Linked DNA regions of Saccharomyces cerevisiae S288C. Changing the gene in region 1 together with any one later gene gives a genetic interaction. Each region holds a gene or a part of one and is shown in the gene's direction. Other genes may lie near its edges.

Evidence for each region.
Region 2: mutations in ARN1 (region 1) and HAL1 together harm fitness more than expected from each alone (negative genetic interaction), as found in Saccharomyces cerevisiae (one large-scale study listed by BioGRID).
Region 3: mutations in ARN1 (region 1) and DAN1 together harm fitness more than expected from each alone (negative genetic interaction), as found in Saccharomyces cerevisiae (one large-scale study listed by BioGRID).

Annotation. Positions count from the first base shown.
Region 1 is NC_001140.6:18,539-22,778, reverse strand, and holds ARN1 (siderophore transporter), read left to right. Parts: upstream 1-1,807; coding exon 1,808-3,691; downstream 3,692-4,240. Other genes in the region: EFM1 (protein-lysine N-methyltransferase), read right to left, coding at 1-996. UniProt on the Saccharomyces cerevisiae protein: Involved in the transport of siderophore ferrichrome and so has a role in iron homeostasis.
Region 2 is NC_001148.4:565,151-568,406, reverse strand, and holds HAL1 (Hal1p), read left to right. Parts: upstream 1-1,735; coding exon 1,736-2,620; downstream 2,621-3,256. Other genes in the region: methylisocitrate lyase ICL2, read left to right, coding at 1-1,138. UniProt on the Saccharomyces cerevisiae protein: Involved in salt tolerance.
Region 3 is NC_001142.9:708,286-711,363, reverse strand, and holds DAN1 (Dan1p), read left to right. Parts: upstream 1-1,656; coding exon 1,657-2,553; downstream 2,554-3,078. Other genes in the region: YJR149W (putative nitronate monooxygenase), read right to left, coding at 2,990-3,078. UniProt on the Saccharomyces cerevisiae protein: Component of the cell wall.

The DNA of each region.
Region 1 (4,240 bases):
ATCGTCAGTAACAAAATTACCTGATTTGTTAAAATCCACGGGCAAACCGCTAACTAAGGTGGATGGTAGCTTTAAAGTCAACCTAGAGAAGTCAAACTTATTCGAGGAATCCCAAAACCCGTAGTTTAACAAACATTTTTCATTAGAAATATTACCATAATTATTAAACAATTCATCCTGTGCACTAAATGTGGTAGTCTGCGACATGAAACAAAGTTCATTTTGTTCATTCATCTCCCATCTTACTGGTACATCGTTTTTATGGTTTAATAAATCTACTATTGGATACAAAAATCCTTCGTTCAGATTGGTGCGGTCTGTACCGGCCCTGCCTAAAATGACACGAGGAAATGCCCTAGAATTAAAGATGCAGTACGACCAAAGATACGCCACGAACGAGTTCCATTCCGAATCTTCTAGTTTACATCCATTGATGTGTGCGCAGAACTGTTCCAACGGCACTACGGCAGAGTCTTTATTCTCCTGGAATAAAGACAAGAACTGCTTATCTTGAGAAGAGTGTTCAATAGATAAAGCTTGGAACAGCATCCTCCACTCCTTTACTAGTTTGTTCAGCGTATCTCTCATAGTTAAGTACACGTCTGTACCATGCAAATTCATGACTTCATCAGTAGACCAAAAATATGGTTGTGGAAGGTGCAAGGGTAGCACATCTAAATATGGTTTGTAAAAGGATTTCAGGTGAACTGCATCGGTGCCAAATTTCAACTTTGACAAGTACAACTGTGTCACGGAATTCAAAAGACTCCTTTCATTAGCAGCCTGGGAAAATTCTGATAAAGCTTGCTGGGAAGTGATCAGCAGAGTTTCGGGTACCCTAATCAAAGCTTGGTCGGGTTTGGGAGAGAATTTTTCGTTTACAAATGCACTAACACCAGCATCCTCTGTAATCCTAAAAGAGATTTTCGGATCGATGAAGGCTCCATTATTTTGAGCCCATTGTAAGCAGTTATCTAGCTCAGTTTGGGTGATCATGCAGAAGTTCGTTAATTAAATGACGAGGTAGCTTCACCAAGCTTGATTCCTTAGTCTTTTTTACTTCCATCATTTCTTCTTTGTTGGAATGGTCAAGTTCAAGTTGAAAAATTTTCTTTTTCATAGTCAACTCATCGCAGGCACATTCGCCTTGAACGAACAACGAGCAGGACTCCAATAGAATAATAGTAATAGATTACAGGCCTATACAATCAAGACAACTATCAAGGTGGGGAGGGTTTCCACCTGTAACTTCCGCTGACTAATGATACATATTATCTGATCGGAAGCCAATGAAAGATCCCCTAAATATCACGCATGTAAGCGACCGCGATGAAGCGTACTGGCAGCTCTATCACGAAGCGATGGAAAAATACACCTGCGAATGAAAATCCATCAACAGAAATGAGAAGACAATTGTATATTATCATTAACGTTCATCTTTAGGACTTGTTCTCTTACGAAATTTGTGTGCCTGTATTTGTTAGAAAGCCACATATGTCTTGGCCTTTTTCACTTCTTTCCTGTTTGGGATTGCAAATTTATCAAAATGCACCCATAAAAGCAGGTGTGATATAACAAGCACATATCGTTAGGAAAATAGTGTCAAAGAGAAAAAAAGGCCAAGCAAATCGGAGTACAGTTTACATGAAGTAATGCAAGATGCATAGAACTGAAGATTTCAGGAATAATTGTATATAGGGGAGGAAACATTCGATAGCTCTCTTTTTGCTTTCGTTCACTATATCTCTTGTTTTCTTTCTTAAAAATATATGGACAGTAGTTCAAGCCACTGCATAGCAACGTACTAATGGAGTCTGTTCACTCTCGCGATCCTGTTAAGGAGGAAAAGAAACATGTCTTCATGGGAATGGAACACGAGTTGAATCCTGAGACTCATAACGATTCCAACTCCGACTCATATGGTCTCCCTCAGTTATCTGAAAAATACAATGCCTTGAGACAGAACAGGAGCCTAATTATCCAGCAGACTGAAATCATTGGCTCTGCTTACAATAAATGGTACTTACAAGCGATTTTACTTTTGAGTGCTTTCATATGTGGCTACGGTTATGGACTGGACGGTAACATCCGTTATATTTACACTGGTTACGCCACATCATCCTATAGTGAGCATTCTCTGCTGTCTACAATCAACGTCATTAATGCTGTGGTCAGTGCCGCTTCGCAAATCATATACGCTAGGTTGTCTGATGTGTTTGGTAGACTATACCTTTTCATTAGTGCTGTCATCCTATATGTTGTGGGTACAATTATTCAATCACAAGCTTATGATGTTCAAAGATACGCTGCAGGTGCCATTTTCTACAATGCTGGCTATGTGGGTGTAATCCTTATTCTTTTGATTATCCTATCCGATTTTTCATCTTTAAAGTGGAGACTGCTGTATCAATTTGTCCCGACTTGGCCTTTTATCATCAACACATGGATTGCTGGTAATATCACTTCCAGAGCCAATCCTGTTGTCAACTGGTCTTGGGATGTAGGTATGTGGGCTTTCATCTTTCCCCTATCATGTGTTCCAATCGTTTTGTGTATGTTGCACATGCAATGGAGGGCCAGAAAGACTCCTGAATGGCACGCTTTGAAGGGCCAGAAGTCCTATTATCAAGAACATGGTTTTATTAAGATCTTAAAGCAATTATTTTGGATGTTAGATGTCGTTGGTGTCCTTTTGATGGGTTGTTCCCTAGGTTGTATCTTGGTCCCACTGACCTTGGCTGGTGGGGTCAAAACTACCTGGAATGATTCAAGATTGATCGGCCCCTTTGTTCTTGGCTTTGTTTTGATCCCTATCTTATGGATTTGGGAATATCGATTCGCTAGAGATCCAATTCTTCCATATAGGCTGGTCAAAGATAGGGCTGTATGGTCTTCTATGGGTATTTCTTTCCTGATTGATTTTATTTACTATATGGCCGCTGATTATTTGTACACGGTTATGATTGTTGCCGTCAATGAATCCGTTAAATCTGCAACCAGAATTGCCACATTATCTTCATTTGTCTCTACTGTGGCCTCTCCATTTTTCGCTTTACTTGTAACAAGATGTACGAGATTGAAACCATTCATAATGTTTGGATGCGCGCTATGGATGGTGGCTATGGGTTTATTGTACCACTTTAGAGGTGGAAGTCAGTCCCATTCAGGTATTATTGGTGCATTATGTGTCTGGGGTGTGGGCACTACTTTGTTCACTTACCCAGTTACCGTCTCTGTACAATCTGCCGTCTCTCATGAAAACATGGCGACAGTTACAGCTTTAAACTATACCCTCTATAGAATTGGTTCTGCTGTCGGTTCCGCAGTTTCCGGTGCCATTTGGACTCAGACTTTGTACAAACAAATTTTGAAGAGAATGGGTGATGTTGCTCTAGCCACAACTGCCTACGAATCTCCATATACTTTCATTGAAACCTATACTTGGGGTACCCCACAAAGGAATGCCTTAATGAACGCTTACAAATACGTTCAAAGATTGGAAACTATCGTGGCTTTAGTATTTTGTGTTCCATTAATTGCATTCTCCTTATGTCTAAGGGATCCTAAATTGACTGATACTGTTGCTGTGGAATACATCGAGGATGGCGAATATGTCGACACGAAAGACAATGATCCAATTTTGGATTGGTTTGAAAAACTTCCATCAAAATTCACTTTTAAACGGGAATAAGTTGATGTTTACGTTGCATGATTGCTTGATATCACTTTCCATGACTATATTGCCCAAAATATACGGTGTCACCTCCTACTTTTTCCTCTCTACAAGACTCTACCATTCTAATGATCATAACCAAGAAAAGAAAAGATCAGAAATGTCTAGTTCTTTGCATATTCCTTTTACCATAACAGTATATGCATATCTACATGTATAGTGCGGCACTACTTAATATTACGTAACAGAGTAATATCTTTACTTCTTTTGTTCTGCCTGTTTATAACATCGATTGGCCAGTTGTCTCAGCACTTGCTTCATAACAAGTGAAAAATTAGAGGCGTTGAATAATTATGTACCTTGACTTTGAAGTCGGTTATCATAAGTGCTTCGAGAAGAGATATAAAGACAAGATAAAGTGTTATGTCAACTATGGTGAAAAAGGAAGGGAAGACAGGCGGTCGCTGAATCTTAAATCCACTCGCCTTTTTTTCTTTGTTTTTCCTTGGCAAGCCTATCCTTCCAGTCGGCTAAGCCCCATTCCATTCAGCTTGTAAAGAGATAGTA
Region 2 (3,256 bases), on another chromosome or scaffold:
TATCGCGGACGCAGACATGGGTCACGGTGGCCCAACGACTGTAATGAAAGTTGCTAAGTTGTTTGCGGAGAAAGGGGCTGCTGGTATTCATCTTGAAGATCAGATGGTGGGAGGCAAAAGGTGTGGCCATCTAAGTGGGGCTGTTTTGGTGCCCACAGCAACACATCTTATGAGATTGATTTCCACCAGGTTTCAATGGGATATCATGGGGACAGAAAATTTGGTTATTGCAAGAACAGATTCCTGTAATGGTAAGCTGTTGAGTTCAAGCAGTGATCCGAGAGACCACGAATTCATTAGGGGTATAATAAGAGATAACGTGGTGCCTTGGAGCGAAAAATTGATTGAGATGGAGGACAAAAAAATTCCCAACTCCGCCATTGCTGACATGGAAAAAGAATGGTACCATGAAAATGAGCTGTTTACATTTGAAGAGGCCTTAGAAAAGCAGTTTACGGCAAGCGAGTTTGAAAGCTATAAAGAAAAGAAGGAAGACCTTATGGTAAACAAGCTGGGTAGAGCATACCTAAGCTTAAGAGAAATGAAACTTTTAGCTCAAGAAGTGACACCACTAAAGAAAATTATATTTGACTGGGATGCTCCGAGGACCAAAGAGGGATATTACATGTTTAACGGTTGTATTGAAGCAGCTATTAGAAGATCTTTGGTGTTTGCCCCATATTCTGATATGATTTGGCTGGAAACGAAAACTCCTGACCTGGAGCAGGCACGCTCATTTTCAAGAAAAATTCATAAACAACTTCCAGCTACCAAGCTAGTATATAACTTATCTCCTAGTTTCAATTGGAGCGCTCACGGCTTTGATGATAAGGCATTAAAATCCTTCGTATGGGACTTGGCAAAAGAAGGCTTCACGTTGCAACTGGTTTCCCTTGCCGGTCTGCATTCAGATGGAGTATCATTCTGGGAATTAGCCAATAGCTTCCAAAGTGACGGAATGAAAGCATACGTCGAAAAAGTGCAAAAACGGGAAAAGGAGACTAATTGTGATATCATGACACACCAGCTATGGTCTGGTGCAGAATATGTTGATTCCTTAATGAAAGTTGTCCAAAACGGTGCTTCATCCCAAACTTTAAGTACATCTGGTGAGAGCTTTACCGAAACGCAATTTTGAATACGCTTCAAGAAGATAAAAGTATAAATAATACATATTGCCAGCAACTTAGTCACATATCTCTTTTATCTCTATTTATCCTCTTTTTATTAATTTATGACCACGATCACTATATTTAGTTCGAAAGTTAGTGTTTGTTTTGCCAAGATATCCTCGCAGAAACAGTTTTACTTAAAGTTTCAGGTGTTGCGTGGAATGCCCCTGCTAAGCTGTCGTGTCGCGCTCTTCCCCGCGTTTGTTTCACATTATATATCATATGGCGTATGACGGTATGGGTGAAAATAAGCGTAGGCTGGTTGTGTGTATTTCTCTCGCACTTTGAAAGGGAAAAATAAAAATAGAGTCTATTAGGAAGCTCACATATGCCGGGAAAAATTACGTAAAGCATCAAAAGGGAAAGAAAATATAGGGAAAGATAAAACAAAAAGCAGAACGGTATCAGGCATTCTTGTTTTAGCCTTTATGTACGATATGGCGTTTATTATGGAGAATATTGAGGTATTCAACTATTTAATACTTGCTATAAATTCTGCCAAACTACTAATCATTCCGTTTATATAACTCAAGAAAAGAGAAATACAGAAACAAATAGATCAGATGCATTTCAAAGATTTAGGATTGCATGACTACACTCTCAAAAACTTGATGTATGAGAATAATTGCTGTAAATTTTATGATGCCGTGGATGAAAACAACATCTCATATGTTTTAAAATTTGTTCCCTCAGATGTGACTTCGGAAGGGGATACTTTCCCATTCGTGGATCGCTTTCAAGTAAAGGAAGGTGTTTTTTTGGTATATTCCTCAAATGACTTTGGAAAAGAAGGTACGGACTACTTTACTTATACTGGTAGTGGTGGAAATGAGGTTCACATCTCGGGCACCTCTTCAGAAGCAGGAATAAAACCGCAGTTTATTGAAACTTGCCATCCAAAACATCTTAAGCGGGGAACAAAAGAGCAGGAAGATATAAATAGTAGTACCTCAAAGAAAAGTGCAGTTATCAACAATTTTTCGGGTGAAAAAACACCAAATCCAAGGCCACAGAGTTCCAACATTTCAGAAAGAGAGACGTATGTCGGAATATTGAACGTCAAATGTAAAAATAAGAACTCATCGAAAATACGAAGTGAAAAATTGGTAAGCTCCGTCATCGAAACAAAGCATACGCCAGGATTGGCATCTATTTTATCGAAAGAAGGCACTACATATCCGAATAATGCGGACGGGAAACATATCAGTATCGTGAATCCATCCTCAAAAATATATCATTCATCCCATAAACAGATTGTTAAAACGCCTATCCCTAAGAGTGGCCTTTCTCCAATTGAGAGATGCCCTTTCAATGGTCAAAATATTAAATGCTACTCACCAAGACCACTAGATCATGAAAGTCCCCAACGTGATTTCAATAATAACTTTCAGCTGAGAATACTGAAGAGCTCGGTGTTGCAAAGGAGACAATCAACACAGAATAGTTGAAAAATTCGTTGGTACTAGCTTCGGGTCGGTTAGCTGCGCTGCTATGCATTTGTTAATATCTCCATCGAATTTTTGTTGTTTCGTTCAATAACTTTATTACTTCCCCCTTGGACTCTTTCGTTCTATCGTTCTACAAGTCCAGCCAAAATTTTTCCCCTCTTCCTTTTCTTTTGTTCACTTCTTAGCTCACTTATATAATTATATACTGATATTTGGATTCTTTTGTTGCAAATATGCTCTCCCAGATTTTTCTGTTGAGATGATTCATGCTTTACATGGATTGAGCATTAGAGAGTAACTATATCCAATTTCGTAAGACGAGTATCTACTTTCCCTTGTCCCCAGTAACCTCAGGAACGTGACAACTACTTTTCTTAAACTGTCAACAGCCAATGATACCGTATTCAATGCATGTCTTGGGATTAAGCCACTTTGATTGAGTTCCGTATTAGTAGTGAGAATTAAATCTTGCAAGATATAAGAATTACTCAACAGAGACGAGATACTTTCCTTTTTTTGGTTCTTTTGTTGTTACTTGGCTTAATGGACAAAGTCTGCTCGCATATTGTATATGTTACTCTTACGATGTGACTCCGCCCGTTTATTATGACTTTTCGGTACATTTTTAGGGCCTCG
Region 3 (3,078 bases), on another chromosome or scaffold:
ATTAATAGATCTTTAACGTAACTTCTTCCGCTAGTTTCGCAGTAGTATCTTGTTTCCTAGCCTGGAGCTATGAAGTATACTGTTTGGTCACTTTATTCAGTTACTATGGTTACTAAAATTATAAACCACCCGTTCCGACAACGACAATGAAGATCTATTTTGCAAATTTGGAACAGAAATAACCATAACCATGAGGTTCGTTATCGTTGACTACATATTACAATCCGAAATGAACATTCGGCCTAGAATGCATTGTACCTTTACAATACTTTGTAAAACATCTTTCAATGTGTATTTTCCTAGCTTAGGTAACACAACTAGGTAACTTATTGGGATGGTTGAGTCTTAAGTGCAGGCCATTTATTATCAATACTGAATCTTGTATGTTTTTGTCAACTCTTGACAGAAAGCTTCAGTCAGCGAAGCAAACTTTCGACCTTCTGTATCATATTTTTCTGCTCTATTTATAGCGAAAGAGAGAAGCCTACAAGAGGATAAGTACTAATCTTGTGATTATTGATTTTCTCCAAAGATTGGGAAAATTACTTAGTTGCACAGCGGAAATGTTTCGATCTCTGACTTTGTAATCGTCAAAATATTCTAGCAGAGCGCAACTTATTTAATTCATACTGTGCGTTCTCCTTGTGGTTTCTAAGACAATCTTTGAGCATGTTTATGGATGCACTTAGGGGTCCTACAAGCCTTCGTATGAAGTTGCCCCTCGCAAGCACACTATAAATTCATGAACAATTGCGCAGTCAAAGTTAGATTGTAAGCCGAATTCAAACGATTTCAACAGTCGTAGCTAACGAGGCCTTTTGTCTCACACCCTTACAAAGGGACTGTAGAATGCAAGGGCAAACAGGCCTGAGGTAACTTTAAAATATAATGTACCTTGAAAACTATGTATACATTGCATTTATTAAGCAGTAGGGTATTTTGTTTGCAAGAAAATAAAGCTCAAAATATCTTTGGAGTTTGACAATAGTATAGAAAAAATAGCTCAGCAACCTTAATAAAAAAAGGGTCATTGGGCAAAGCGTTTTAAAAAGATTTAAGTGGTAGTGTTTAAAGTGAAAGAGATTGATATAGTTAAAAATTGTTGAGCTCAATTCACGCTGGATTCGGCGATCCGTTTTCTTCAATCCTCACGTGCTTTCTTCGTTTGAGTGCAAAAGTTCATATGATGCTATCTCCCGCTTATCTTATTAGTCGAAAATGGGGAGAATTTCCTATTTTATCTGTCGTTTAGCACATATGGCCAGGAAAATACATAAGGTTTCGCCGAACGACGGGGTCAATTCGTCCTTTTTGTACACATCGTTTAATTTATGAGGAAAAATTGATGAATGTATCCTCCGTAGACGCTCCTCTGAAAAGTTTCATGTTTCCTGCGCGTTCCTTTGATAGGCAATAAAACAATACAACGCGTGCCTTTGAAAATGCCAAGATCTATACGAGGCCTCTAACAAAACATCGTTCAGGAACAGAGAATGCTAGAAATGCAAAAGGGTCCCTGGGTACTCATTGAATAGAAATGATTGAAAATACTGCGTATAAAATAGCACGACTAAATGATACTATTTTTATGTCGACACGGTACTATTTCTTCTTTTTCAGATAAAAGTGTAGCATACTAAATATATACCCCAAGTAATGTCTAGAATTAGTATATTAGCTGTCGCCGCAGCATTAGTGGCAAGTGCAACCGCCGCATCCGTGACCACCACTCTATCCCCTTATGATGAAAGGGTCAATTTGATTGAATTGGCTGTTTACGTTTCTGATATTGGCGCCCATTTATCTGAATATTACGCTTTCCAGGCTTTGCATAAGACTGAAACATACCCACCTGAAATTGCCAAGGCTGTTTTTGCCGGTGGCGATTTCACCACCATGTTGACTGGTATTTCAGGTGATGAAGTGACCAGAATGATCACCGGTGTGCCATGGTACTCTACTAGATTGATGGGTGCTATTTCCGAAGCACTTGCGAATGAAGGTATTGCTACTGCAGTACCAGCTTCTACCACAGAGGCTTCTTCCACCTCCACTTCAGAAGCTTCTAGTGCCGCCACTGAGTCTTCTAGCTCCTCTGAAAGTTCAGCAGAGACCAGCTCAAACGCTGCTTCCACCCAAGCTACTGTTTCATCTGAATCTAGCTCTGCTGCAAGCACCATTGCAAGTTCTGCTGAAAGTTCTGTTGCAAGCTCTGTTGCAAGCTCTGTTGCAAGCTCTGCTAGTTTTGCCAATACCACAGCTCCAGTTTCTTCTACATCTTCTATCTCAGTCACTCCAGTGGTCCAAAATGGTACTGACAGCACCGTCACAAAGACTCAAGCTTCCACTGTTGAAACTACCATAACTAGTTGTTCAAATAACGTCTGTTCAACTGTGACTAAGCCAGTCTCCTCCAAAGCTCAATCTACAGCTACTTCTGTCACATCGTCAGCATCTCGTGTTATTGACGTTACCACTAACGGTGCTAACAAGTTCAATAACGGTGTTTTCGGTGCCGCTGCTATTGCTGGTGCCGCCGCTCTATTGTTATAGTGATCATGTGCGGCCCTGTACAGTTGTATAAATGATGTAAAATAATTGAATTCTCTTAATTTTAATATTTATAAGATATATACTATAAGCGTAAGGAAATTCCAAAGAAATTTGTTTTTTAGTTTGCAGTCTTGTGCTCCAACTATTTCCGGTCCTTTTCGAATTTCATGTCAGGAGCATTCCTTATTGCAGACAGCTTAACAGAAAAAAAACTGTGAAAAAAATAAATACCTTTAGATATTAAAGCCCTAAATTGATATCAAATTTTTTCCATATTTGGATTTTGTATTCCTTAAAGCCCACATCCTGTGAACGGTTACGCTCAAATAATGGCCAAGTAACCTACGATCCAATAGCGACGTATATATATCATATAGAAAAAGGTCATCCAGAAAATTTGTGTCAATAAGTATCAGGTCTTTTATATGTATTTATATTATTTTCCGTCAATTTTCAATCTTGCGCCCATAGTTTCAATTTTCTTGTCTGTTGTGATTCCTGATTGGACATTCTGAAATCCTTGTC